Linked DNA regions of Struthio camelus. The protein of the gene in region 4 interacts with the protein of the main gene of each other region in a pairwise test. Links are inferred from orthologs where the notes say so. Each region holds a gene or a part of one and is shown on either strand. Other genes may lie near its edges.

The links.
Region 1: the proteins of MEOX2 (region 4) and PCSK5 interact in binary tests that used the Homo sapiens proteins (3 or more experiments, as listed by UniProt). The two-hybrid records come from large-scale screens. The link is inferred for Struthio camelus from reciprocal best matches to the Homo sapiens genes MEOX2 and PCSK5.
Region 2: the proteins of MEOX2 (region 4) and UNC45A interact in binary tests that used the Homo sapiens proteins (3 or more experiments, as listed by UniProt). The two-hybrid records come from large-scale screens. The link is inferred for Struthio camelus from reciprocal best matches to the Homo sapiens genes MEOX2 and UNC45A.
Region 3: the proteins of MEOX2 (region 4) and HAT1 interact in binary tests that used the Homo sapiens proteins (3 or more experiments, as listed by UniProt). The two-hybrid records come from large-scale screens. The link is inferred for Struthio camelus from reciprocal best matches to the Homo sapiens genes MEOX2 and HAT1.

The regions. Positions count from the first base shown.
Region 1 is NC_090982.1:28,163,187-28,170,119, reverse strand, and holds the start of PCSK5 (proprotein convertase subtilisin/kexin type 5), read right to left. Parts: upstream 3,010-6,933; 5' UTR 2,490-3,009; coding exon 2,292-2,489; intron 1-2,291. UniProt on the Homo sapiens protein: Serine endoprotease that processes various proproteins by cleavage at paired basic amino acids, recognizing the RXXX[KR]R consensus motif. Likely functions in the constitutive and regulated secretory pathways.
Region 2 is NC_090953.1:537,240-544,208, reverse strand, and holds the start of UNC45A (protein unc-45 homolog A), read right to left. Parts: upstream 3,018-6,969; 5' UTR 3,003-3,017; coding exon 2,697-3,002; intron 2,604-2,696; coding exon 2,445-2,603; intron 1,682-2,444; coding exon 1,645-1,681; intron 1,535-1,644; coding exon 1,359-1,534; intron 1,245-1,358; coding exon 1,152-1,244; intron 873-1,151; coding exon 705-872; intron 433-704; coding exon 264-432; intron 12-263; coding exon 1-11.
Region 3 is NC_090947.1:22,834,108-22,840,979, forward strand, and holds the start of HAT1 (histone acetyltransferase type B catalytic subunit), read right to left. Parts: upstream 3,018-6,872; 5' UTR 2,982-3,017; coding exon 2,864-2,981; exon of another isoform or gene 2,804-2,863; coding exon of another isoform or gene 2,797-2,803; intron 20-2,796; coding exon 1-19. Other genes in the region: SLC25A12 (electrogenic aspartate/glutamate antiporter SLC25A12, mitochondrial), read left to right, coding at 3,333-3,383, 5,315-5,368. UniProt on the Homo sapiens protein: Histone acetyltransferase that plays a role in different biological processes including cell cycle progression, glucose metabolism, histone production or DNA damage repair. Coordinates histone production and acetylation via H4 promoter binding.
Region 4 is NC_090943.1:33,643,138-33,650,564, reverse strand, and holds the start of MEOX2 (homeobox protein MOX-2), read left to right. Parts: upstream 1-4,413; 5' UTR 4,414-4,843; coding exon 4,844-5,354; intron 5,355-7,427. UniProt on the Homo sapiens protein: Mesodermal transcription factor that plays a key role in somitogenesis and somitogenesis and limb muscle differentiation. Required during limb development for normal appendicular muscle formation and for the normal regulation of myogenic genes.

The DNA.
Region 1 (6,933 bases), on a different chromosome or scaffold from region 4:
GAACGCCCACCTAGTACTAATGAAAATGCCAACACAGAAATACCATTTGCAGATGATTTTGCTAGGAATGATCAGAAACCTAAAACTGGCCATCCTAAACAGACACTCATGAAAGGCAGCTCTGCGTTAAGTCTCTGCAAACGCATAAGACCTCTTAACTGCACAACAGTTGAGCTCTGAGCTCTGCACTGGAAGGACAGAATGACATCTAGCACTTGGTTACACCAATCCAAAATACATACAGGAAGCTCTGCGGACTATCTGTGTGCGTGCCCGCCGCCAGCTTCCTATGTTCAGCAGTTGGTAGCAGTCAGAAGACTAGGAACCACCCATCAGCGTAGTTCATATTATTAGCAAAGTTTTCTTTCTCACACAGGCATCAGTTAACAGTATTATACTCGTCGCCTTGCATTCTCCCTATGTACGTAACTAGCAGTACTGACTCCCTTCACGTATGTCCTCTTTTCATCTGTATACCTCGTAAAGTATTTTCCAGTTGTTCATTATTCATGGCCGCTATTTTCCCTCATTCCTATCTGTACACCTGATCAGTAACGTATCTATTATTAATATGTCATAGGTGTGTGTACATGGCACTTCACTGACACACAAGAAGACCACAGCAGCTTAGTATATTCTTTCCTTAATCCAGCAGGAGGTCTGGATGTGCAAGGGATAAAAAAGCAGGCCTTAAGTTGGCCAGCTGGCCTGGCAAAAGACAAAAGAGGAAGAAGTGAATCCTCTCATCAGCTAACTGCTACTTATTTCAGCACTTTAAAGGTCCAAACAGGAATATACAAAAAACACCTTGTGTGAAAGACATGCATAAGGCAAAAGCAAAACACATGGGTGCAAAAAACTTTGCTCTTGGATTCCTTCATCTTCTAAAAAGGGCACTTTCAAGGTATGGATTCAATCTGGACACAAAAACTTCCTCATGAATTTCTGTCCCTCCGAATGGGAATAGCCTTACCTACCTGCCCAAGCGTTCCAAGGGGGAAGCTGGCGCTCAGCCTTCCTAAAGATCTGCATCTGTATACATCATGTATTGTACTGCTGCAGTCTGGCTTCTCTTACGTAAATTATTCGTATGAATAAATTGCACAGCTGTCTTATTCAGGTGGGCAGTAATCGGGAACGGTTGAGATGCACGCTTCAAACTTTTGCCTTAGTGATACAACACAAATAACAACCAGATACGCGTCACTTTCAGCCGGTGGATGTAAAAGGCCTGTTGCACTAACGCAACTGTAATTTTGCAAATCTCATGTATAGGATGAAGCCTTCTGTACCTGCAAATGCTTGTTTCTAAACTCTGAATTCACGTAGTATAAACTACTGTCTAGAAAAATCGTGCCTGGATGTTCGCACACAGGCATGCGACAGAACTGTTTATTTTTTAGGCATTCAACTTGCTATGCCCTACATACGTGACTCACATTTTGAGGCTAAATGTCAGGAAAGCCTAGCATACCGCGGCGGCAAATTTGTCAGAAAAAAAAAAAAGGCGATCTTATGACATTTTTCAGCAGCAGCAGCAGCGCCTAGATGCAGCAGCAGCAGATTTTCCAGCGTGACTGGATCTAGGGGGAACCAGGTGTTTCCTCACTTGCCGTTCCTGGATCCGTCTGGATCCAGGAATTTTCTCACGGACGGATTCCTGGAGCGGGCCCGTTCCAGGTGTCCTCTCGCTGCACATCTGCGGCTCCTGCGGCATCCAGGTGTTGCCCGGCGGAGCCCAGGGGAGACCTGCCCGATCCTACCTTGGCCGCGCTGGCACCTACGGGCCGCCTTCGCCCCTCGCCCGCTGTCAGCCGAGCCGCGGGCAGCGCCGCCGCCGCCGCACGGAGGCGCGGGCACGCCGCGCCGGCGGGGCAGAGCCCAGGCACCCGCGGGCCGCGCGGCCGCGGCCCCCCGCCCCGCCGCCGCCCAGAGCGGGGCGGGAGCCCCCGGCGGCCGCTGCCACGTCCCGGCTCCGCGGGCACCACGGGCTCGCGAAGGACGAACCGGTGTTTCATTCCGATTTGGGTTTTTTTTTTTTCGGGGGGGGGGGAAGAGTTTAGCCCCCGCCGCCCTCCCCCCCGGCCCCGGCCCCGGCCACCGCCCCGGCGCGGCGCCCCGCTACCTGCCCCCGCGCCCCGCGGCCGCTCGCCGGGCCGGGCCGGGCCGGGCCGGGGCGCGGCGGCAGCGGCGGCGGCGCTGGCGGGGCCCGCGGCGGGGGCAGCGGACGGTGCCTGCCCGGCGGGCGGGAGCGGCGCCGCCTGCGCAGAAGTAGTTGTAAGGCGGGTTACCTGTCCTATATTGACGTATCCGTACTTGCTAGCTATCCTGTTGGCCTCCGGGAGCCCCCCAGCGATCCGCACAGCCCAGTGGTTGGTGTAGAGGCGCGTCCTGCAGGCGGGCAGCAGGAAGCCCAGCACCAGGGTGAGCAGGCAGAGCAGGTCCCCTCCGCCGCCGCCTCCCCCGCAGCAGCGGCGCTTCCAGCCCATCTTCCTCTGCTCCGCGCGCAGCCCCCGCCAAACTTCGCCTTCCTTCTTCCGCGGCTCTGCTCCTCACCCCCCGGCGGCACCGGCGGCGAAGTTACCCCGAGGAGGAGACGAGGAAGAGCTTGGAATAGTGCATTGAACCGCCTGGGGGGCTAAACTACCGGGGGCCGGGAATAACAGTTATTATCAGCAGCGGTGATGACCGCTCTCCCCTCCTCCCTCTGCTCTTCGGGGATTAAGTAACTTGCTTGGAAAGCTTCTCGCACAGTTTCTGAGCTCCAGCCTTCTCCCTCTTTCCCCAGCTACACGGAAAGTCTTCTCTCCGCAGGGGAGGGAGGTCGCCTTCTCTTCCCTCCTCTCTCAGCTCTCCCCTTGCTAATGACCGCCTGCCTCCTCTTCCTCTTCTTTATTTTCCTCGCCGTCCCTCTCGCTCTCCCCCGTCTTGCCCGGAGCCCAGGAGCAGCGCAGCAGCAGCGGCAGGCAGTGTGTGTGAGTGTTGGCAGCTGAGCGCCTCACTCCAGTCAGCCTCGGTCACCTCCCTCTCTCTCCCTCCCTCCCTCCCTCCCTCCTCTCCCCTCCCTCCCGCGCTCCCGCCCGGCGGCGGCGCGGAGGGCGAGGGGAAATGGCCTCCGCGCCGCCGCCCCGCGCCGCCCCGCGGGGGGCGCCGGCCCGGCCCGGTTCGGCCCGGCCCGGTCCGGCCCGGTCCGGTCCGGTCCGGCGAGGCCCGCGGCGGGGCCGGGCCGCCGCGGTGGCGGTGGGCGCGGGGGGACACGCGGGGCGGCGGGGAGGACAGCCGGCCTGGGCGGCGTGGTGACCTCGCGGCGCCCTCCCGCCCTTACCTTACCAACGCGGCTGGGCGTTATCGGGCGTCGAAACGCCCGCCAAACCCCACGCGTGGGGGAGGAGGGGGGGGCGGGCCAAGGCCGCCGCAGGGCGCGGCGTGTCGCGGCCGGCCGAGGAGGAGCGCGCTGCGAAGGCTGCCGCCACCCGGCGCGCGCGGCCTCACCAAGTCGGTGGTTGCCCGTGGGCCGCGAGGGTGAGGCGGCAGGAGCGGTGGGGGCGCAGCGCGGCGGGGTGGAAGTGAGCTGGTGGCCGCGTGAGCCCCAACGGTTGCTTCCAGACTCAACGTGGAGCCACCGCAGTGGCTTTGAACACGCTATATCTGCGCGTTAGTCGTCCGAAAGTTAGAGTGAGCCCATACAAAAATCTAACGAGGCGCCGTGAGGTTTCCTCACTGTGTGTAAGGGGATCTGGGTGTGAGAAGTGCTGTTAACGTTTCAAAACATGTTTTCCTCTGAGGAACCTAAGATGTCCTACAGAACCAGGCAACCACCGTTCGCCTTGTCACGGAGACCCGAAGTGTGAGAGGTTAAATGTTTGGCACAAAGTCATATGGTAACATGGAGTGCCCCCCCCCCCACCAAGAACAGTGCTCCTACCAGTAGAACCACTCTTCTAATAAAATTAAAGCAGAAATGTGAAATGCAAGCCGCGCAAGCTGTGCACCCCTTATTTAACTATTCTCTGCATCAAGTTAATTCATTTTCCGCCCAAACAGCAGTATCGTATTAATAGGCAACAACTTTCTGTATCTTCTGATTCATTTTAAAGGAGAAAAATGGGGAAACCCACTCTCTACTTCCTCGTTTTTCTATACCTCCAAAAATTTGCTTGCCAGCTATTAGTTTTTCCCTGTTGTGTTTCCCCTGTAGTTTGCGTTATCACGTGCTGAATATATTACAACGTACTATTTACCCCCGTTTGTAGTTTCGAGACCGCTGTGTGGCTTACCTTCCCTAGGAATTTTGCAGATAACAGCTCACTCTTTATCAAAAGCAGGACCTGATCCTTCTGCTGTAACCACGGTCAACGCTCTCATTGGATTCCGTAGGAGCAGTATTAGGCCCAGAAGGTTACGTCTTGCAGCTAATGTTCATAAATCTACATTCACTGAATATGGCATTCAGTCTCCTCTAGCGATTAGCCTTCCTTATTGATTCGTTCAGTGGTAATTATACAAGTTAGCTCTCTTCCTATATTTGGAATGTTTGAAGTGTATTTAATCATGAGTGGCCACCTTACTAAAGTACTTAGCAATCAATGGGTCACAAAAACTGAACCTTTTGCACTTTTGGTTTGTTTTTTTGAAGAGGATAAATAAAAAATGTGTGTTGTGGTCTTTTCTCAGTGCATTTTTACTATTGTCTTGACTGCCTTCTTTCCTGCTATAGATGCATGTGTATGTTTTGGGGGATTCTGACACAAAAACTGTAAGCAAAAAATAAAATCGTGCTACTGTTACATTTCATTATCTACTTCCAACTTTGCTTATGTGACACAACATTTTGCACAGATGCGTCAAAGACGCTAGGAACTGGTAGACATGATAAATACACCGTTTTCCTCTGGATATATGGGTCCAAACATCTCTTCAGAATGCTGCATTGTGTCTTATAGCCTCACAAAAAGGTTGCCAAAGCTATACTGTACCTGAAAACAGCCTCTGAAAAAGGAGGAACTTACTGCCCCGGGGCATTTTCTTTATGAGCAAGGAATCCTCTTTGCTGAGCCCATCGGGGACGGGCAATCATGGCTGATGTGGGAGCTGCACGCCTGAGCTGGGTTGAAGGTGAACCCAAAATTGCAAAGTTTTGCTGAGTGCATTATCACAGCCACATCTGTACGGGGAACTGCACTCCTTCCCCGGAAGAGTGACAATTCCTGTATTCCTAACCCATGCCTTGTACTAATTTAAGCTGCTTCTTTCCCAGTGGGCTGGGAGGTAAGGAGTCTGGGCACCACATGAGCACTGAGAGAGTGTTGGAGGACTATCAGCAGGGGTGTGTTTTATCCCAGCATACCTACTGTACGTGGGTTACAGGCCGCATACGGTTGGTAGCTGGGCTTGCCTCTCTACACTATGGGAGGCCAGATAGCTTGTCTGTACACACCGTGCTCAGGGGAAAATTTTATCATCTGTGAGCAAGGACACTAAATTGGTCTTTTCCATCACTGTCATCACAACCTGTACCTTTTATCTCATTTCTTTTCCTCATTCTCACCCCTCTGCTATGATCAATATCCGACTGACTGCTCAAAATGCAAGCTTCAATGTGCCTCTGTCTTGCCCTTTATTTATTGGTGCTAATCCTTACATCCCCCCTCCACTGTTAATTCAAGATGATTCTGATATAGTTAGTGGCTGACCTCCATCTCTGTTCTCACTTTCCTCCTATTTGGTCTAATTGCCTCTGTTCTTGCTATTTTGCCTACTACCTCTTGAAGCTCGTCTTCTCTTTCTAGTCCTTCCCCTTTTTCTGAAAATTCCTCCAGCTCACTGGCTCTGGCAGCCTCTAAAGCTGGGCTGTGCTTCATTTCAGCTTTCCAGCCCTTTTCCATTTGAATTTTGCAGACCAGTGCTCCAGAGATGTGTTATGCACTCTGGGGGCATAATTAATGAGGAAGCTGCAGAAGGCAGATCTATTTGAAGTAAGCGGCAGCCCTAAGTCCTACAAGAAGAAGTCCTATGAGCAGACGTGTTGGGCCCTGAAGATCTGCCAGAACAGAGGATGTTTTCAGAAGGAGCTGGAGGTACATGTTCGGCAGATCTGGGAGTGGGAAAATCTGAAGCAGAATAGAAGAAAAAATACTCTTCAAGGAAGAGAAGAGAGGGCTTCAAAGGGGGAGGTTGTGTCAGCGCATCATCTAAGGTTTGCAATGGCCTCAGAAACAGGGACGCTTTTGGAATCCAAATGAATGTTTAGATTTCCAAGGTTTCAGACAGCACCGGTTTTTGTGAAGAGTGCTGTGAGGTCGCTTGACACCAGCCATCTTACAACTCAATTTGCTGATACACAGTTCTTTAATCTGCAGTTTTCCGTGCTGCGGGCTTGCCTCTGATTTTGTTTATTTTCAACTTCAGCTGCTTTTAGGGAGAATTAGGAAAGTTTTTTTCTTTTTAATGGAACTCTAGTTTTGCGCATGATCAACAATATTAGCAGCTTTTTCCTTCACAAGCACCAGTAAACTTACGCTTTGAAACAGAGCGTGCCCAACATATTGGGCACATGACTTTGCTGTTCTCATGAAAAGCTTCCTACATATGGCCAAATTTTGAGTGACAGTTTTCACATTACAGTAGATACTTTTTTGAGTTCAGCAGCTAATATCTCAAGATTATTCACCCTCACTGGGCATGCCTCTCACTGCTCCTACTGCAGAGACTCTATGTAAAGGGGCTATCGCAAAGCATGACTTTTATCTAGCAGTTGCTGTTCCCACTTCTTGTCCATCAATGCGGGAGTGAGCACTATAATTGACAGCAGTCTTTAATGAGCCCTCTGGCAATGCAAAGGAGGAAAGCCTCCTGCCTTGCATGCAGAGGAGACAAAAAACAGAGGAGATGAAGAGAGAAAGTACTTGACTGAGACAAGGAGTCTGGGACAGG
Region 2 (6,969 bases), on a different chromosome or scaffold from region 4:
CTTGGAGGAATCTTCCAGGAGAGAGAGTGCCCAGTGGTCAGTGCCCTGGACAGGGGCCTCACCCCCATCGTGGCAAGGCTGGCAGGAGATGCTGCCACAATCAGGGGATCCCCGCTCCCAGCTCAAGGCCATATTAACCTTGGACTTGAGTCCCTGGCTCTGAGTCCATCAGGGAGCAGTGGCAAGGCAGGTAGAGGGAGAAGAACCCCCAGCCCACTACACACTACGGCCACGGTAGCTAGCTGGGGCAGGCAGAACCTTACCTAGCACCACTGCATCCTCCTTTCCACGGAAGTCCTTCTGCATCCCTTCCTTCAGGGAATCAAACATCACCTGCAGCAGGTTGCAGGCAGCCAGAGAAACCTGCTCATGCTCCACACCCAGCACTGCTGAAAGACGAGGGGCACCCAGTTCCGCCAGGATGGCCGTGGTCTGCAAGTACAAGCACAGCTGTCTGCTGGAGACTTCAGGGAAGCCTTGGCACTCCTCAGCACCATCTCCAGATGGTTTCCTGTCACAACAAGGCTCCCTTAAGCTTGGGCCTGGTGGGGTGACAGCTGAGGGCTCTACTGCTCAGCAGGGCTGCAGCTATCCACAGGCAGAGGCCAGCCACGCTTCCCTGCCTGACACGCTTCACAGCCGCCCAGATATCAGGCCCCCCGGGCCAGGCCTCATCGAGCAGGAGAAGCTATGATGTGACCTACCCGGGAGCGGTGCCCGGAGCACAACCCCACCAGGGTGCGCAGGGCCGCCAGCATCATGTCAGCTTTGGCCGTGTCGAGGAGCCGCGTCAGCAGCCGCACGCCATCGCTTTGGAAGATTTTCTCTGCTCCGGCCTCCTCTCGTGCCAGCACAATCAGGTTCTGCGCAGCCTAGGAGAGGAGAGTCATGTTTGGGGCGCCAGCCCACATATCGGGGCGGCTCAGCCACGGAATGGAGCTCACTGTGAGCAGGGAACCTGCCCCACAGGAGCTTGCCAGGTAACCAGGGCAGCCACGAGCACCCGCCTTCCACCCCAACCCTTGCAGAGCACATTCTGCCCCCGCAGGGTAGCACAGTTCAGCCAGCAGCGCTGAGTCAGGAAGGGTAATTCCTCCCCCTCCTTGCCTTCCGTCCAAGCCATATCCCCCTCTGCTCCCTAGAGTTCAGACCTTCTGCTTCTTGTCTGCATCCTTTTCTTCAGGATCCAGTAAGATCTGAAACATCTGGTCCACCTTAGAGTCCGTGCAGGACATTGTCCTCATCTGAAAGATCAGAAACAGCAGCTCAACCCTCACCATTCCCCTGAACAGACCATACCTGCAGCGCTCCACAACAGCAGCACACAGCCAGCCCTACCAGTGGTCTCCCCAGCTCACCTTCTCATGCATGCTGCTCCCCAGGGTGCGCAGCGCCTCCTGAAAGGCCTTGTTCCTGGGCTCCAGGCTCACACACCTCTGCAAGTCACTGACAGCCTGGTCCAAGCGGCCCAGCTTCTGCAGCGCCTGGCTACGGCGGAACAACGCCTTCACGTCCCGTCCATTGGCTTCGATGGCTGAGGACAAGCGAGAGATGCGTCGCAGAGCCCTTGGACCACTCCTCTCTGCCTCAACAGACAGGCAGCACACAGAGACCGGTCTCCTACCAGCCATGCTCCGACAGTACCTTTAGATGCATCAGCTTCTGCCTTGGCGTAGTCTTCCTGCAGAGAAAGAACTGGTGAGAAGGAAACGGCCTGCCTCACTGCCCACAGGTAGACATGTAGGTCACATGCACCCCAGCTTGTGGGCAGAGGCAGCACCAGACTCTTTAGAGGAGCGTGTAGGGAAATGACCGTGGGGGTTTGAGAATGGAAACACAGTCACCGAGGACAATGAACCGGTATGACGGGGCATCTGGCCCTTCGCAGGAACACAGCCTTCACAAGGGTTCCTGAGGAGCCATAAGCCCCCGCCTCGTGCCCTTTGAGTGCCCACTGCAATGGCGCTCCCTATCCATCTGTGTTTCCCACTTGCTTCAGAGACCGTTCCACGCCAGCAGACCAGAGACACTGTGACTGTCTGGGGACCCAACGCAGAGCATCTGTGCATCTTTGACATGGACAGTAGTGTGCTGCCCAGGCCCAGACAGCCCACTAAAGAGGTGGGACAGCATCAGATAGACCAGGAGAAGAGAAGAGCAGAGGAAGCAGGGCAGGCAGCCAATGCAACAAGAAGGAAGGGTCCTAAGGGCCCTGGAAAACAGATGTTTCCGCAGCATCAGTTCAAGGAGATATACTACTTGGCCACCCTGGTCACTCTGCTCTGCTACCTGCTGGCACGGAGAGTTACCCGCCTCTTAGGGAGGGACAGGACACTACCAGGCAGCTCCGGAGAGGCCGGAGCAGCAGCACGCCCCGGCAGGCCAGTCCGGACAGGTCGGTTCCTGCAGGGCGCACGGTGACGCCCGCCCGCCCCCGCTCTCACCAGCTTCAGGTGGCAGGCGGCGCGGTTGCGGTGCAGCACGGCTCTCTCCGACTCGGCATCGCAGAGGCTCAGCGCCTGCGTGTAGGCGGCAAGGGCCGCAGCGTGGTCCCCCGCCTGGAACAGCGCGTTGCCCTGCTCGCGCAGCTGCCCCGCCGTCACCTGCGAGACCAGCACCGGGGTGGGACAGGGGCACTGCCTGGGGGGATCCCTGGAAAAGGGTCCCCACCCCATCCATGCCATGCAGGGACGGACCTGGGACAGGTCACGACCCTCCAGACTGCCCCAGGGATGGGCCCGGGACAAACCTCGTCGCCCCAGCTGCCCCGGGGACGGGGCGATGACAGCTCCTAGGACAGACAGCCATCGCCCCGTCAGCCCTGAGGACGGGGCAGTGACAGGCCCTTGGGACGGGCCCCCATTGCCCCGACAGCCCGGGGATGGGCCCGGGACGGGTATCTGTGAGGGGCTCCCGGGAAAGGCCCTCGCCCCGCAGCTGCCCGGCCCCACCACAACACCCTGGTCCACGCCAGGCCCCCCCTCAGGCCCTCCCCACCCCATCGGTCACGACTGCACCCCCCTGGCTCCCCCGGTCCTGGCCAGCTCCCCCCAGTCACAGCCAGGCCTGGTCAGCCCCCCCTAGTAAGAGCCAGGCCATTCCCGGTCCCCCCGGTCCCACCCAGGCTCCCCCGGTCCCAGCCAGCTCTACCCAGTCCCCCTGGTTCCAGTCCCGGTCTCAGTCCCCCTAGTCCCCCCCCCCGGTCCCCCCAGTCCCGGGCAGCTCCCCCCCAGTCCCCTCGGTCCCGGTCAGGCCCCCCCGGTCCCGGCCAGGCCCCCCCGGCCCCCCCGGTCCCGGCCAGCTCCCCCCCGGCCCCCCCGGTTCCGGCCAGCTCCCCCCCGGCCCCCCCGGTCCCGGCCAGCTCCCCCCCCGGTCCCATCAGCCTCGCCCAGTCCCACTGGTCCCGGCCCCCCGGTCCCGCCCAGGGCCCTCCCGACCCCCAAGTCCCCCCCGGTCCCGGTCCCAGCACCCCGGTCAGGCCCCCCCCGGCCCCCCCCGGCCCCGCTCACCGCCGCCTCCATCGCGCCGCGCCCGTGACGTCACCGCCGATCGCCCGGGGAACCCGGAACGCCCCCCCCCGCGTCACGTGACGAGTCCCCGGGGGCGGGGCGGGCTCGAGCCTGCAGCGCCCCCGCGCGCCCCCAGGGGGCGCCCCGGCCCCGGCCGCAGCGCGCGTGCGCGCAATCTGCGCGCGCTGCCGCCGCGACCCCGTTGCGCGCGCCTTGTGCCTCCGTGTGCGCCCCCATGTGCCTCCAAGGGTGTCCCCATTGCACCCCCCATATGCCTCCAAGGGTGTCCCCATTGCACCCCCGTGTGCGCCCCCATGTACCTCCATGGGTGTCCCCATTGCACCCCCCATATGCCTCCAAGGGTGTCCCCATTGCACCCCCCATGCATGCCCCTGAATGTCCCCATTGCACCCACCATGCGCACCCCTATAGGTGCCCCCATTACAGCTCCCATACCCCTATGGGTGCTGCCCATTGCACCCCTCGGTGCTCCCGCTGCCCCTCCGTGTTCCCCCATTGCCCCATATGTGCCGCCATGGGTGTCCCCATTGCACCCTAGTGTGCTCCCATTGTGCCCTGTGTGCCCCTAAGGATGTTCCCATTGCACCCTGGTGTGCCCACCATGTGCCCCCTGGGTGCCCCCATTGCACTCTACTGTGCCCCGATTGTCTCCCACGTGCCCCTAGGGGTGTTCCTATCGCACCCTGGTGTTCCCCCTATGTCCCCCCAGGTGCCCCAAGGGGGTTCCCAGTGTACCCTGGTGTGCCCCCCTTGTCCCCCATGTACCCCCCTGGATGCCCCAGTGCACCCTACTGTGCCCCCTTTGTCACCCATATACCCCCCCAGGTGCGCCAGTGCACCCTAGCGTGCCCCCACTGTCCCCCGTGTATCCCCCTGGGTGCCCCCGCTGCCCCCGGTGCGCTCCCGCGGGTGCCGCCCCGACCCCCCCCCGCCCGCCGCGCCCCTTCGAGCAGGCGCCGTGCCGGGGCCCGCGGCTGCCAGCCGCTGCTGCCGGGCCCGGCACCCCGAGCCCTGCGGGGGGGCGCCCCGGCCGTGCCCCGGCGCCCCCCGGCCGCAGCGGAGCGGAGCGGAGGGGAGGGGGCCGCGGCGCCGGGCGCTCATCCCTCCGCGCGGGCAGCCGGGGGCGGCGGGCGGCCCCGCTGGAGCCGGCAGAAGTGCAGGAGGTCGACGGCCGCGAGCAGCAGGACGAGGAGGCCGTAGAGCCCCACGAAGGGCAGCGCCAGCGGGTTCCTGGCCGGGGAGGCGGCTCAGGGCCGGGGCCGGGGCCGGGGCCGGGGGTCGGGGTCGGGGTCGGGGGTCGGCGCCCACCTGAGCGGGCCGGCGGCCGGCGCGCTGGAGCCGTTCGCCCCGGCGGGGGCCTCCGGGGCCGGGCGGGGGCAGCAGGACTTGAGGGCGCGCGGGCCGGGCCGGCAGCAGTAGCGGTGGCCGGCCGGGTCGCCGAGCCGCGGGCAGTAGAAGCCGGCGTGGTAGCGCCCGTCGGGGCCCGCGTAGCCCTCGCAGAGGTGCAGGCTGCCGCCGGCCGCTGCCGGGGCGAGGCGGGCGCTGGCGGCACCGGCCAGCGCTCCGCGCTCCCGGGAGCCGGGCCGGGGCCGCGCGGGTCCCCCCCGCCGCGGGTCCCCCCCCCCCCCCGCGCAGCGCCGAGCCCCGAGCGGAGCCGCCCCGGACCGGGCTCAGCTCCGGCCGCTCCGCGGGGCGGCGGCTCCCCGCCAGGGCGGGGCGGGACGGGACGGGCGGGGACGGGGCGGCGGCCCGCGACCCACGGCGCTGGCCAAGGGCGAACGCGGAGGAGAGGGGCTGCGGCCCCGCCGCTGCCCCCCGGCCCGCCGCCGGGCCCGGACGGCAGGGAAACAGCCCCCCCCGGCACGCAGCCTCGGTGGAAGGGACGGGGCGAACCCCCGGCCGGCGGAGCGGCCCCCCGACGGCCCCGTGCTCCCCGTCCCCACCACCCCGTGGCACCGCGCCTCACCCCACTGACGCGCCGCCGTGGGGCAGCCGGGCGCGGGGTCACAGCTCCCGTGGCCGAGCCCACGCCACCTCGACGCCTCGACAGGCCGCGGGGGACGGCACCTGGCCGTGGCACCGAGCGGGGCCCTACCTGTCCCCAGGAGCCCGGGGCACGCCGCCGCCGAGAGGAGCAGCCCCAGCAGGAGCCCGCTCAGCATCTTCCCGGCCGTGCTGGGGGCACCGGCAGCCCCAGCGCTGTCTGAGGCGAAACCGCAGCCCCTCCTGCTCCCGCCTCCATCACCGGCCCATCAAGAGCTTCTTGGAGCCATTAGAGCCTCCTGCACTTACTGCCCTGCTCCGCAGGGACCGGGAGCGGGAGGCGGGAGCATCACTAATGAGCTCCTCGGGGCCAAGGCTGGGATGGAGGCTCCTTCACCAGCCCCGCAGCCGGGGCGCGGGGTCCCGTCGCCCTCCTGGGGCATCTTGGCCCTTCGGCACCCGGCTGCTGCGGACCCGAGCAGGGGCACAGGGCAGGGCCCTCCCCACGCAGCCCTCGGCCGGGGGAGCTGGGAGCTGGCCCCTGCCAAGGCAGCTGACGCCAGGGCTGGCCCTGGCCGGAGGGTCCTGGGCCACCGGCGGGCTGCAGAGACACCGCGGTGCCAGCAGCCCCCAGGGCGGTGGGGCACCCCGGCTGGGCAGGCAGCGGGCCCCGCACTGAGCAGCCTGGCCCCCCGCCAGCTGCTCCATTAGCTGGACACCGGAGCTGCTCGTTGCACTAATGTGTCTGTGCAGGGGCCAGGCGAGATCAGCCAGCCTGCTGCCTGCATGTGGCTGCCAGCTCGCCAGCGCAGGGCCGCCCGGCGCAGGCTCCCCAGAGAGCTTGCACGCCCCGCCTGCGCACCACGACCTGGATCACCATCCCTGCCTGTGCACCACGACCTGGATCACCATCCCCGCCTGCGCACCACGACCTGGATCACCATCCCCGCCTGCGCCCCATGGCCTGGATCACCATCCCCGCCTGCGCACCACGGCCTGGATCACCATCCCTGCCAGTGCACCACGGCCTGGGCCACCATCCCCGCTTGCGCACCACGACCTGGATCACCATTCCCCGCCTGCGCACCACGGCCTGGATCACCATCCCTGCCAGTGCACCACGGCCTGGGCCACCATCCCCGCTTGCGCACCACGACCTGGGCCACCATCCCCGCCTGCGCACCACGACCTGGATCACCATCCCCGCCTGCGCCCCATGGCCTGGATCACCATTCCCCGCCTGCGCACCACGGCCTGGATCACCATCCCTGCCAGTGCACCACGGCCTGGGCCACCATCCCCGCTTGCGCACCACGACCTGGATCACCATCCCTGCCAGTGCACCACGGCCTGGGCCACCATCCCTGCCTGTGCACCACGGCCTGGGCCACCATCGCAGGGTGCACACCACGGCCTGGGCCACCATCCCCGCCTGCGCACCATGGCCTGGATCACC
Region 3 (6,872 bases), on a different chromosome or scaffold from region 4:
TTCTCCATAGCAGTAAGCCCTGAAGAGAAAGGTTTTAAGAAAGTTTTAATGACGCACACAAACTTGTATCACTGTTATTCAAGGAACATATTTAGAAGAAGATTTTCAAAAACAGAAGGACACCACCACAAATACTATGGCTTTTTTTTTTTTTTTTAAACCTATCTGTTCAATATGTACTCAAAATTTAAAAGGAATATTTGGATTACCTCACAAACTTTTCTGGACCTAGAAACAAGAACTAGGAAACAGACCACAGTTATCTCCCTTTCTAGTTTCTCAGAACGGAGTTATAGTCAAAAGATTTAAAATGACGTTATTACCAATAAAAACATCTTTCAAAGCTGGAACAAAAAACTAAGAATTCAGTCTAACAGATGTTTCTAGAAACTAGCACATGCATTTTAACTTCAGAATGTAAAAACCATCCAGCTCATCCTAATTATAATTTCTTATTACTTCTTTGGACAGCAAAAGTGCCCAGAAGCCTCAGAGAGGATCAGGGCCTTATTGGACAAGCACTGTTATGCCTGCCATTACATCCTTGCAAAAGTTAAAGAATCATGTCTTTGTGACACTTTGATCTACATGAAACCATGGTCAAACGTCATGCTTTCTCAGGGAGCCTACAAGTGTATCTGCATGGAAGAATCCCTACTTCTTGTGGGTATTTCTACTTTTATGAGGCACAAGACAAACCTGTTTTCATAATAACCATACCGTTCTACACAAATTGCATGTCATCTTCTGTAAGCATGACTTTAAGCTTATAGAAGCATAACTATTCAAAAAACTTCTACAAAATGAAGGTAACAAGTAAGCACAGTATATGCTTGATTGTTACAAGTTTTCCTTCCCTCTCCCCAGCAACAGAACCAAACTAAATTGGAATACTCATACAAGGCAGCAAACAAGAAACAGCACACATACTTGGCTCAGCCACTAGAACAGAAGCAAGAAATTCTCAGTACTGCTTATACCCCACCTGCCAGTTTCTTCATTACAACTTCAAGAAACATGCTTATTTTACAAACGGGAAATGAGAGATTATAACTTCTGTGTGACAACCTCAAAGAGCACTTTTCCTAAACAGAGACACAAGCTCAGTTGGCTGCAAGCTTCTTTGCAGCAACCCATTTACTGAAAACTTCAATGGCACTGTACAAAGATTTCTGTGTCTCATCCAGCAGAATATCAAATAAAAAGCAATTATGAGAAGACTATCCTTTATATTTTCCCCGAAACATAAATTGAACATATAAATAATATAATTAAGAAATGCTCAGACACGTACATAGGTCTTACTTTACTGGGCTGCCTCTGCACCTACATCAGTACAGGAAGCTGAAATTCTTTTAAGACCAAGGACTCAATGATTTGAAGAAAAAACAACCCCCTCCCAAAAACCCCCACCAAACATGGAAGGAATACCTCTGCCTGAAAAAGTAATTGGGGGTAGGGGGTGGGGGAATACAATCTCAGAATTAAAAAGTAAAACTAAAAGCAAACACCAGGCACATAGAGAGCATGTTTTTGTAACATCAAGACTTTATATCAGAATCCACTGCCTCTCTTGTAACTTCTAGCTTTTCATCCTTCCTACTCTTTAAGGCTGCATTGCTTTGTCTTAATAAGACAAAGGCAAATCTGTTCTGTGACAATAAAGTGTTTGACAATAAAGTGTTTTGCAAAAACAGGCAGATAGGTATGTGAAAAAGTAAGCAGACTGAGGGAGAAGCCTGGTGGCAGATCACTGGTCAATAAGCACAGGACTAAAATAACTTTCTCTTTTCCTCATGTTTTCTTAACAGAGCATGCATACATTAGTATATCTCATACTATTCCAAAGTATTTGTTGTATTGCATTGCTATTTGTTTTCCCATCTTTTGCACAGCTCCTCAGGAAAGGCAAAGCCCTAATCTCAAAGCGTTAAACAAAAAAGGCATTTGAAAATAAAGTTGTTTGTTTCAAGACCCTAAATAAAAGGGCACTAGCTACTTCCTCTTCATAGATTTACAACAATTCAGGAAAGCCCCCCCCCACCCCCCCAACAGCACCAAGCAGACTAAAGCAAAGAACTCCTGAAAAAGTATGTCTCTGTAGCTAATACTAGGCACCTTACTGCAATCATTTTCACAGACAGGGGTTCTCAACTGTAGCATACATACCACCAATAATTACCTAATTACCACTTTTTTTTTTTTGAAGCAGAACAGAAATGAGTAACAAGTTAAATCTGCTCTGCTTTCCAAAGTACATTCCAGCATACAAAACATTTGTCACCTAGTAAGGTATTTTTCAAGTGTTTTAAGGCTTTCCTCCCCATGGCTATCCAAGGTTCATTCCAGAAGCCTCCTCAGAAAGTTTTTCCCCTCTAGTTTCAGATTATTCATAGCAAACTTTAAATAAAACCAAGGATTCCCTCAGGAAGACAGCAGAAAGGGAGCGGCGCTGCGGCTCCGCACTAGGTGCGGGGATCACGAGCTCGAGGGCGCTGCCCTCCCCCCCCGGCGCCCTCGGGGGGCCCCCGCTGACCCCCGCCCCGCCCCGCTTGCTGCGGGCGGCACCGGCCCGGCCGCCGGCGGGGCGGCAGCAGGGCGGCAGCAGGGCGGCTGCGCCCCTCCCTCCCCCCCAACTCCCGCAGCCCCGGGGCCCGGCCGAGCCACCGCCCCTCCGCGGGCAGGGCAGGGCAGGGCAGGGCCGGGCAGGCCCAGCCGAGCCCCCGGAGCCCGGCCCAGACCGGCGGGGCCGCTCAGGGCCGGGTAGGGCAGGGCAGGGCGGCGGCGCGGACTTACCCGCCATTTCCGAGCGGCGGCGGCCAAGTCACCCAGGCAGAACGAATCAACCCGCGCGCCCACTCACCGGAAATGAGAGCACACACAAACACTTCCGCTTCCGCCCGCCGAAATACGGCCGGGGAGCGGACGGCACCGCTGCTGCTGCAGCAGCCGCCACCGCCGCCTAGCACGCGAGCGCGCATGCTCGGCACCGCCCTGCGCGCTACGCCCTCCTCGCGGGACCCGTTAAAGAGCTTATTTGCATGTCCCCGCCCCCCGAGCAGCCGACCCTCCCCTGCCGGGCCGGCGCACATGCGCAGTGCCTCGGCCTCGGCCTCGGCCTCGCACCTGCGTTGCCCGCGCCGCCCTGCAGCGCTTGTGGCCCCGTCCGGCGGTTGGCGCGGCCGCGGCCGGCTGGGCTCCCGCAGGGCCGGCCGGCGGCGGCGTCCCGCTCTCCCGCGTCCCCACGGCCCTGGCGCCGCCTGACGGAAGGTCCCAGCCCGGCCTGTGAGGCGACAGCCGCGAAACCCCTCAGGCAGCTGCACCTCTGGCCTATGAGGAGACACCTTGCTGCTGGCTGCCCTGCCGCTTTTCAAAGCTTACCGGTATTTTAATCTATCAGGAGTCCATTTTAGTATGAGTCAAACAGGCTTTATCTGAAGGTTAGTATTTGAGCAGCGGCCCAGAACTATGACAGAGAACAAGTGTGAGGTTATGCGGTATATCTGTCCGCAGCACGGTCGAGGGCCAGTCCAGATAAAGCACCCAGTTTATCCAATTCTAATTTAAGCCATGTGGAGATTATGCCCTCTGTTCTCTGCTTGGCCTGGAACACCAAATAAGTAACTTAACCCTCAACTGCTGCACAACTGGCAAGCAGTCACATTGGTTTCTGATGTAGAAGTGTCATTGCGTTTGACAACTGAATGTCCTCCGTGCTTTAGGAAAGGGTGGATTTAGATCTCCCCTCTCACCAGTTTACTAAATACAATGTTAAAATTAATCCTCTGTGAATAAGACTTTAAAATATATAGAATCTTCCATTGCAGTTTTGGAAGTAGTAAACAAATCTCTTCTACTTCCATTTTTGTCTTCATATACAGGCTATATGGGCTCGATGCCACTGTTACATTTTAACTAAACTAAGGACAAATATTCAGTTTTACCATTAGTAGCTTTACCATTAGTACTATTTATTGTAGTTTTATATCCCACTCTGTTATCTGGAGTACAAAAGTAGTCATTTTTATGCTTTCCAGTGATATCTAACAGAAGAGATCTTGCTGGGCTCTGAGAATTACGGTATAGCATGACAAAACGTGCATTCTTTTTAAATTCAGGTTTTGCAAGCATTTATTGTGGTTGAACTGTCCAAAGAAAGTATAAATGCCTCCTTTCTTGAGGATGTGGCTTGCCTGTTTTTTCGTTTTGAGGTACAACGTGCGTCAGTCAGTGTGTCCTCCTGTTTAAGGTAGGAGAGTTTGTCAGAAGCTGTCCAGAACTGACTACGTTATACTTCTGTTTCTTTGTTTAAATATGAGGCTACCAGCTCTTCACTGCTAGAGCGCTTTTGCAGAAAGTGACATCGCTTGCAATCAACAGGTATCGCTTTCCTGACCTTCAAGGGAACGGCTGCTTCCCTCGAGCCAGAAAGGCCTGTCAGCAGCGTTTTAGAAATTCCTGTTTTGCACGATTACGGTTGCGGCTGCACGCGCACCCCAGTGGAGCGGCTCCAGAGCCAGCAGCCCCACAGAGGGGCCGGCGGCTGCGCTCCTGTTGCCCCTGTTTGGAGGGAGGAAGGGGCGCCACACGCCGCCTGGGCGGCCTCAGGCAGCCTGCTGCCGGCTGGAGCGGCGGGGCCGGCGGGCCGCGGCCGCCGAGGGGAGCCCTGCGCGGGGAGCGGGCCGGGCCGGGCGGGGCAGGACAGGGCAGGGCGCTCATTAGCGCGGCGCCGAGGCGGCGGCTGGTGCGGCGGCGCGGCGGGTGGGTAGCGCCGGGCGGCTCCTCCTCCTCCTGCTCCTCCTCGCCGGGCGCAGCATGGCGGTCAAGGTGACTCTCGCCCTCCGTCGCTTATCGCCGAAGGAGGCGGGCGGCCGCTCCGCCGGCCCGGGCGGCTGGCCGAGGGGCGGCCGGGCGGCGGGAGGGAGCCCCGCGGGCAGCCCCGGCGGGGGCGGTGATGGCGGGGCGCCGGCCGGCAGGGGCCGCGCAGCCTGGCCTGCCTCCGCCCTCTGAGGCGAAGCGGGGGCGCGGGCCCGGGGCGGCCGTTGCCCGGGGCGCGCGGGCGGTAACGGTCGCTGCGGGGCGGCGGGCGCGGGCCTCGGCGGCGGGCGGTGCCCCGCCGGTTTGACAGCTGTCAGCGGTGCTCGACTCGTTTTGGAGTCGAGCAATAAAAAGGAAGGGTTTGATGTCTGAGATTCTCCTTATCGGTTAGATAAGAGAACTGGTATTTGTTGCCCTTATCAGCACAGATTGCAGGTTTTTTCTAAACTCTGTCAGTAGCTCAGCTAGTGAAGCATTAACTTACTTTTATTTACAGGTGCAATCAACTAAGAGAGCAGATCCTGCTGAACTGCGAAATATTTTTTTGCAGGTAAACAGCTCTGTCTTACACTGTTTGATTGACACTTTTTTCTTTGCCTTTTCAGCAGTGTGTCGCAGCATCATACGTGTGTTGTGCTTGTGGCACGGTTAAAAACTCGTTTCACATAAGTGGGATGTTGAGAGGGCCTTCTGGCACTGAGAAGAAACTGTTCCTGACACAAATTGTCACTAAACATTTCCAAATTATAGTCTGAAATAAATTTCTGAAATGTTTTCTAATTTCCTACGAAGCAAGTAGTTATAAACATAGATAGTAGTGTTATTTTTAAAATACCCTTTTACAAGTTTCTGAAAATTCTTACATGGCTGTATAGTCTCTCTTCGGGATTTGTATGTGATCCTCTTATAAATGGATGGACTACGAGCAATGTTTTTAGAATTTACAATTAATTTACTAAGGTTGATGAGTTTCAAAATATAAGCAGAGTAATACAAATATTATCTCTGACAGAGTGTTAGAATTAGCATATATAAACAGCATGAAGGTTTCTTTACTCTCCTTAGCTATAGTGAAGCACTTTCTAAGAGGAAAACCCAATATATACTCAAAATTTGATAAGATTTTTAACATGCTGATGGAATAAGAAGTAAAACTATATTTTTAGGTCCATAATTGGACCACTGATATTTTCAAACGCTCTAAAATAACATTTTTCTTTCCCTTTAAGTTGCGTACTACACAGTGTATTCAAGCAGCTTTACTCTGCGGAAAAGGGAAGAAACTAAAATTAAGATTTAGGGCTAATATTGTACATGATAAAATCTCTTGTACCATCTTTGAAAAGTAACTTTTGGTCCTAACTTATTATTTAACAGCTTGCACATGTGATAAGTAGACGAAGAAACCTTTTTACCTGAGAGAGAGAGAAGTTAAATCTCAGTCCTTTTCCTTCTTTTTCGCACAATGGATTACTCTGGTAACATTGCTGGAGTGCTGAAACTTAGAATGTTGGAATCAAACCATGAAAGTCTAGCTTTCAATTTCTAATAAAATTCTTTCCTTCACAGATTGATTTATTGTTGATGTTGGATTTAGCATTTATATGAAGAATACAATGGAGTTTGTTAATCAAATAAGCAACATTAAAATATGAAAAGCATTTACTATGAATGTGATTCTGGAACATCACACAGCACTTTTCCAAACTCATTTGTAAGACACTTGCACTTCTGCCTGTTTGATGGCAAAAAGTGAAATGAAGTGTCAAAATATTCTACTCAGCTTGGAAATGTGGAGTTTGTATGATTCTTGACTTTGGGCATATATTGCAGTAGAAGTGTTTGCTTCTGAAAATAAGTAAATTATCTGAAACCCTTGATCTTGGTCATGCAGGAAAAAGTGGAGAGGAGGAACGCTGTGCAGCTGAATCTTTAAATTTTCTATGTGACAACATACATATTGACCTAAAAAGCAAACAGTTTACTATTTTAAAAAAGGCTTTTGATTTCCCTCCTGTCCATCTTACTATTTTCAAATATGCAAAATGTTGTGG
Region 4 (7,427 bases):
ATCTATTTAAAACAAACACACATCCAGGTTTGGAGGAGAACTTGTTTTAAGGCTTCTGAGTATCTAATGTGGAATGCAAGTTTCCCATCGTTCAATCTCTAAAAGCATTCCTGAAACATCATAGCTCAGGTGTGAAGCCTCAAGTACATTAACTGTTTTAATATTTCATCTGTTTATTTAAATTAAATAGGAAGCATAAGATATTTTACTGGTTAGAGTGGGCTGGCAATTCAAATAACTTTTAATGATGTAATGCAAACTTGTAAATCATTTTCCGTGAGGGCCTCATAGTTCAGCACAGCTTTTATGTAATACACTAAATTGCTGGCATAGCTTTAAAATTTGTAATACTTGGAGATCATGAAAATTAGAACAGAATCCATATGTATACAGGAGAAGTAACTGAAAATATGGATTCAGGCTTAAAGCTTCTATAGATATGTTGTAGCCTTTAAACCAAAAATTGTATCTGATACGTATTAAACCATGGCACATGTAAATGCTAAAAAGAGTGGAATGGAAGTACACCACAGAAAAGAAATGTTCAGGTTATGTGGTGTGCTTGGCGGTAGTATAATTTCTCACAAAAACTGCTTTTATGGTGAAGTATAGTGAAGATACTGGCATAGTAGGTTTATGAATGGGAAATGCGATCATCATCCTTTTTAACTATGGAGGAATTCAGTATTTTTGACAAGCCCGTCAGCACATTATTCATTTTCTGCATAAGGCTTTTCAGTTAAGGCATCCAAGCATCTCTGAAACGATGCATAACTGTGGCTTTATTACTGCTTGTATCTATAGGTTTTCGTTACAGCCTAGGTATCAAGAGAAATGAATTATATTGCTTCTACGGGAGTTAAACGGGAAAATTTAGGGGAAAAAGAAAAGACTGAAAATAAACATACATCTGTTGTGAATCTGGATTGACTCTAAGGTTAAATAATGATGCCTGCCTTCACCAAATTGCCATGGAAAAATATGAACTGATCATAATTACAGTACAATAAAATCTCGTCCTCTTGCTTTGGTAGGCTCTTGAGTACAATAAAATCTTTGGCTAAAATAAACTGAATTCATATTTATAAGCTTTCTCTTTGACAGTAAGGAGCATATTCTCAAATGGCGAAAAATGTCATCTTTACGCTGACTTCTACAAAGCTATGACAGTTTATACCACTGAAATACTGGTCCGCAAGTATGACTATTTGTCTGATGTTCTCGTAGTATGCATATATTAGAAAGCTGCGCACTAGAAAGAAGTGTACAAGAATCTTGCTTATACTCTGATAAATACTCAGGAAGATGGTGCATTTAGCCTCCAGCGTAAAAGATTGAGCGAGACTACGGAAGTCCTGAAGCTGAGGAACTCTACGCTGATTCATTCAGGTCAATTTTTATGTGATCCCTTTTACCATAAATGGTAAATTAAAACAAAACAAAACCCAAAAAATAAAGCAAATGCAAATATGAGCCTGTATATGAAAATATAAATGATGTCCCAAACTATTTTGGCTACGGATGTTTTTAAGAGTTAAACAGTTTACTGTTTTCGTATGTTTAAAACATTCTATTTTTTCATTTGATGTTGTAAGCTTTGGGCAAACTTGTTGGCATTGATTTAAGTTATGCTTTTGTACCACATGTAGGTCAAACACACATTCTAAAAAGATACAACATGAATGAGAATCCAATCAATAATATTGAGAGGTAATAACTGTTTACACTTTCTTCAGTAAATATTTCAGTGAAAAGCTTTGCAGTGGAATTTTCTTTGTCAGAAAAGTTGCACGTTTTTTACAAAGGATGGCATAGTATATAGTTATTTGATAACTCCATAGAGAAACTTCTGAGGATATTTCAGTAAACGTTTGATGTTGTTTATTCATGTCAACATTAATTGCCTATATTTGCATTCTGCTTATATTATTTAAAATGAAAACATAAGGCTCTACAGAAATTTGTACTTCCAGCTCTTGTGTGCTTAAAAACTCTCATTGAAGAAGAAATAAGAACACTTGATGTAGGACTTGTGTACTTATTAGGGGAATTAAGATCCAAAGGAGATACAGTCCCCAATATTCGGATTTGATTATGAAGCTAATGGCGAATGCTTAGCTCTGTCATTATTACTTTGTTGTTGGGCTTTTTTCTTCTTCTTCACCTTTCGGAGCCCTTCCTACCTCTGCCTAAAAAGTGCTATTTGGCTCCGTCTCTTATTTCTCCGGGAAACCTAATCTTTCTCCCTCCCCCTCGTACCCTCTCGCTGTCTTCATTGTACTTCACTTATTTCGCTTTTTATCCTCGAGAAATCCTGTGCGGCCATCCCCTAGAATTTAAAGGAAAAAAAAGGGGGGGGGGGGCATTCTTACACCGGCGCGGCTCTGGCACTTCCCCAGCCCCGTCGCAGCTGTGTCGGGGTCAGGGCTGCCGCGACGGCGGCGGTGGCAGGAGGGGTGCTGGCACTCCTGCCCCCCCGGCGCGGCCCGGCGCGGCGCCGTCCCCCCCGACGGCGGCGTGCCGGCGGCAGCAGGTTGACGGGGCGCGCCGCGCCCGCCTGCCCCCGCGGAGGGCCGCGCAGCGCGGAGGCCGCCGGGGGATGGGGGGGAGCCGCCGGCCGCCGCTGCCGGGGCTCCCACCTGGGGCCGCCTGCGCCGCCCGCCCGCCGCGGAGCCGGCGGCGCCTCGGGCCGCCCCGACGGGGACACGGCCCCGGGCGAGCTGGCTGCGGCTCGCCTGCAGCTCGAAGCGCGAGGCACCGCGCTCGGCGAGGATCGCCCAGCTCTTGCTGCGTGACACCCCGCTACTTCTTAGGGACAACGGCATCACTGTTCTCACAGCCCTGCGAGTTAACAAAACCAAGAGTAGTTCAGCCATTGCGTTCGCTTTGCGCTCCCTTCTTTTAATATTAGAGCACATATTGAAACGATAAACACAATGAAAAGCACAAAATATTTCATCAGTGTTGTAACTGTATATTTCCTTTATTCTGAAGAAATATCAAGTTTTGAACAGTGCACAGAGGCAGCAACTTCTGCTTTGGACGCCACGCTCTTTTTAAAGACCGCATTGTTACACTTAAATCTAAAGACAATTTTTCAAAAGCATTAGATCTCAGAAAAGGGGGGAAAATCTTACCGTCGAAAGACTGCTACAGGTTCCAGCTCAGTCTGAAACTGCAGGGAAAAGTGGAGCAGCTGCTGAACAAAAGTTTTAGTTTTTTTTCAGAAAGTCTGCAAAACTAATTTCCCACAAAATAGGACTCAATTTCCGTTTAAGAAACTAGCTCTTGCAAATCTCATACAATTCCTGATTTTTTCCAATAGCAATTGAAATTCATTTTATCTTTCGCACATGGGCCCAAGAATTTAGACTTGAATGGCAGGAACGTAATGGTTTTGTATGTGTGCGTGTTTTTTTTTTTTTTAATTTTGATTTGGGAGGAGGAGGAGGAGGAAGGTAGACCGAGGAGGAAGGGCTAAGCAACAAAATACTTTCGCAGTGGGCACCTCTTGGGCAATGATCAATAAATACGTTATCGTCATTTAGACCAGTTAACTGCCTTCTTCGTGGCTACTGTTAATTCCACTACAAGCATGTTAAAAGGAAAAAAGCCAAGCACCGACTCTCTAGCCGGTCCCTCTTGAGTCACTAAAGACCGCAACGAAGAAAATGAAGATATAGAGAATAAAAATAATGTGAGTTCTTGCTTTGAAGGGGCAGGGGGCAAAGAAGGAAACTGTCTTTCCTCGACCATGTTTCGTAGCTCGTTAAGCGCCGGTTATTTCGTTGCAACCCTGCCTGCCGGCCCCGGCAGGTCCTGTGCGCCCAAGGCCAAGTGCGGAGGTAGGTGCGGGCACCCCGCGGAGGGCGGCAGGCCACCTCGGGCGCTGCAGATGCGACACGGGGGCAGAGCGAGGGGCGGGAAGCGCCGCGGCCGGACCCGCGCTCCCCCGCGCTCGGAGGACCGCGGCCGCCGCGGCGCCCGCCCGCCCACCTGGGAGCGCAGGTGAGGGGCCTCGCCGGCCCCTTTCGGCCCCCGAGAAAAGGTGCCGGCGCTAGCCCCGGCCCCCCCCCCCGACCCGGGCTCCCGCTGCCCCCTCAGAATAACCCCCGCGGACTGTGCTTCACGTGTTTATTGCGCTCCTCCGCTGGCTTTCCAGGGGGCGGTGGCACTCGGAGAGGCCCCGACGGGGCGGTGATGGCCCCGCGCGGGGCCGCACGGCTGCGGGGGCACCGCCGCCCCCCGGGGCCGCCCCGCCGAGCCCCGCGGCGCCGGGGCGCGCTCCCCCCCGGCCCGCCCGGGGGCAGGCAGGGGCGGGCTGCGCCCCCGCGGAGCCGGGCCGGCCCCCCTTCCCCCACCCCCCGCGGCTGCCGCGGGCGCCCGGGGCGCGGGCGCGCAGCGCTGCCGCCCGCTGACGGAGCGGCTCGGCGCGGGGACGGCGCTGGCGTTTTGGAGGGAGTTTGCATGTGGTCAGTGCTGTGCTCCTAAGCCAGCCCCCAGCTCACATTACACACTACTGTATTTATAACCTCTGAGAGCTGTTTCCCCCTTCAAGCAGTTCTCTGGGACCACCTTCTATTGGCTTCAACCTCTCCCACTTCTTGACATCTGAGCAGCTCTGAGAAAGGCTCATCTAGGTCCGAGTGTTTATGCAGCGGAGACTGGCCACTAGGGCTAAAGACCTGGATTATCTGAGCTCAGCTGCCTGCTGCAAAGTCTGTCGTTGCCGTTTTGGAAAAAAAAATCCCAACCCCGATCTGTTTACAGTGAAAGTTGACAAAGGGTGGTGAAGTTGGATCTTTCCTAAACTCTCCTGCCTGGAACCTGAGACTTGCATGCCATGGATCACACACTCTTTGGCTGCCTGCGCAGCCCCCATGCCACTGCGCAGAGCTTGCACCCTTTCTCCCAGTCTTCTCTTGCCCTGCATGGAAGATCTGACCACATGTCCTACCCTGATCTGTCTTCTTCTTCTTCCTCTTGCATAATAGCGGGATACCCCAATGAGGAGGGCATGTTTGCCAGCCAGCATCATAGGGGGCACCACCACCACCACCACCATCACCACCACCACCACCAGCAACAGCAGCACCAGGCTTTGCAGACGAACTGGCACATTCCTCAGATGTCGTCTCCTCCCGCCGCGGCCAGGCACAGCCTCTGCCTTCAGCCCGACTCAGGAGGACCCCCGGAGCTGGGCAGCAGCCCCCCCGTCCTCTGTTCAAACTCTTCCAGCCTGGGCACTAACACCCCGACGGGGGCAGCGTGTGCGCCAGGGGACTATGGCAGGCAAGCTCTGTCCCCGGTGGAAACAGAGAAGAGGTCCGGCAAAAGGAAAAGCGACAGCTCAGGTAACGGCTCACGCTTTGCCGTGCGGGCGGGACCCCCGGGCGGAGGGTGCCGGGGGGTGCGGCGCTGCCGGGCCGCGGGTCCCCCGCCGCCGCGGGGCTCTGGCCGCCCGCTGACACCGGGCTCCCGGGTCGCGTCTTCACTCAAACGCGCTCTCGAGAGCTCCATCATTAAAGCAAGCTTTTTTAGGGCTACGGGGCAAAAATAAAAAGGAGAAAGCCAGCACGTGATAGAGCATGAAATCGGGGGGAAGGGGGTGGGCGAGTTTCGTATAGTCCAGGAGAGAAACGTTTGTAGTTTTGACGAGGAAATTTTAGCATCTGGTGCCGTGTTCCCCTTCTCCCCCCCCCCCCCGCCCAGCGCCCGATACACCACCTCTGCTGCAAAATTCAGAATAGAGCGCGCTCGCTTCCCCTCCCGCCCCTTCCCCCGCGGCGCTCACCGCAGCTCCGCGGCGGCTGCACAGCGCCGGGACGCTTCGCCCCGCAGCGCGGCCGCGGCAGATCCGCGGCCCGGCCGGGGCCGAGCCGGGAGTCCCTCCGCCAAACGGGGGAACTGGCGTCTCAGACCGCGAGTTCAGCTGAGCGTCCTTGTGCCGGGGGCGGAGGGAAGGAAGGAGCTGTCGGACTTTGAAACGCACCACGATTTTTCACTCCAAGACGAGCATAAAAACGTGCAGACCCGCGGTCGTGGCGGGATGATGATTAGGCATCGCTAAGCGTGCAAACGAACTGCCAAAATCTCTGCTTTTAGCATGGCCAAGCCAGTCACAGCCCCATACTGACAAAAGGCATTCCGCGACGGCAGTGCGATGGATGGCACTTCCGTTGCAGCAGATACAAACTGAAGGCTCATCTAAGCTACACTGAGACAGGCAGTAGGCACTTGAAAAAGAGAGTACTCAACATTTTGAAAACTCAGGAGCGGGCATAGCGAGTTTCTTGGTTGCTACCAAGCAAGGGAAAGTGAAAGGATTTTGCAGATATTTATGAAGTTCACTGCTGAAACTGTGACCTCTTTCACTTGAAATATTTTGAGCTTGGTGAGCTGGTAAGCAATAGAAACTATTTTAAAAAAGTACTTCAAGGACACTGTCATTTTGTTCATTACCCATTACGTTAGGAAATGTTTACAGTGATTCAGGATGGGTTTAACTTTATTTTATCGTATGTAGCTGGTATATGGGTTTTAAAACCGCCAAGATTGAAAGCCATATTTTGTAAAACACTTGTAGCAAAATCTATTGTTGCATCTTCACTACATTTTGTGGAATAAAAGGAATTCTCTGATTCTGTGAGGTCTATGAGCAGTACTAAAATTTGTGTCCCCATTGCTACTGGAAAATAACTGGATGCCTGTTTGTGTAAGGCTTTATTATCTTTTGTCAGACTGTTTAAAGCTAAAAGAAAAAAAAGATATTGATGCCTTTCACTGTCAGGGAAATGTCTGCATTGCTTTCTGTTTATTCCATTTTGCAATGCAAATGCAAAAAGCAGCGGGGAATGTCTCAGACCTCATCCTGAAGCCACTGGAGTCTTCCATGGGATTTAGTGGACAAGAGCGCAAGCCTTTAGTCGTGATTATGTTTATATTGCACTGTACTCCGAACTTCACTTTCTAAGACTTTCTGAAGATCAAGGCAGGTAACTATTTCCTCCTCCCTTCCCTTAAGAAAAAAATATATGTCCGTTCACACGATTAGGAGTCTCTCAAACTGAAAGTTGGTGCCTTTTGACGACAACTGAGTTGCCAGAGAATCTTCGGTTTTTCTTCAGGAAAAAACTGACTTTTGGACCGACCTTTTAACCCCACCCCTTTATTAAACCTGAACTATGGTGCTAGATATTTAACGTCCTTCTAATGTATGGCAGCAAGAACTATTTGAGTCAATGTGTTTCTGTATTTGTCATCCATAATCGCTCCTAATTTGAATAAAAATTATCTCCTACTTTTCCCATTAATCCGTTTTTTAAACAAATCACCATACTTTAAAGAATCCCGTCCTCCCCCTCCCCACTTATGAGACATAATCATCACACTTGGAAGTACTTCAATAGGCGTTTGTATAAAATTCT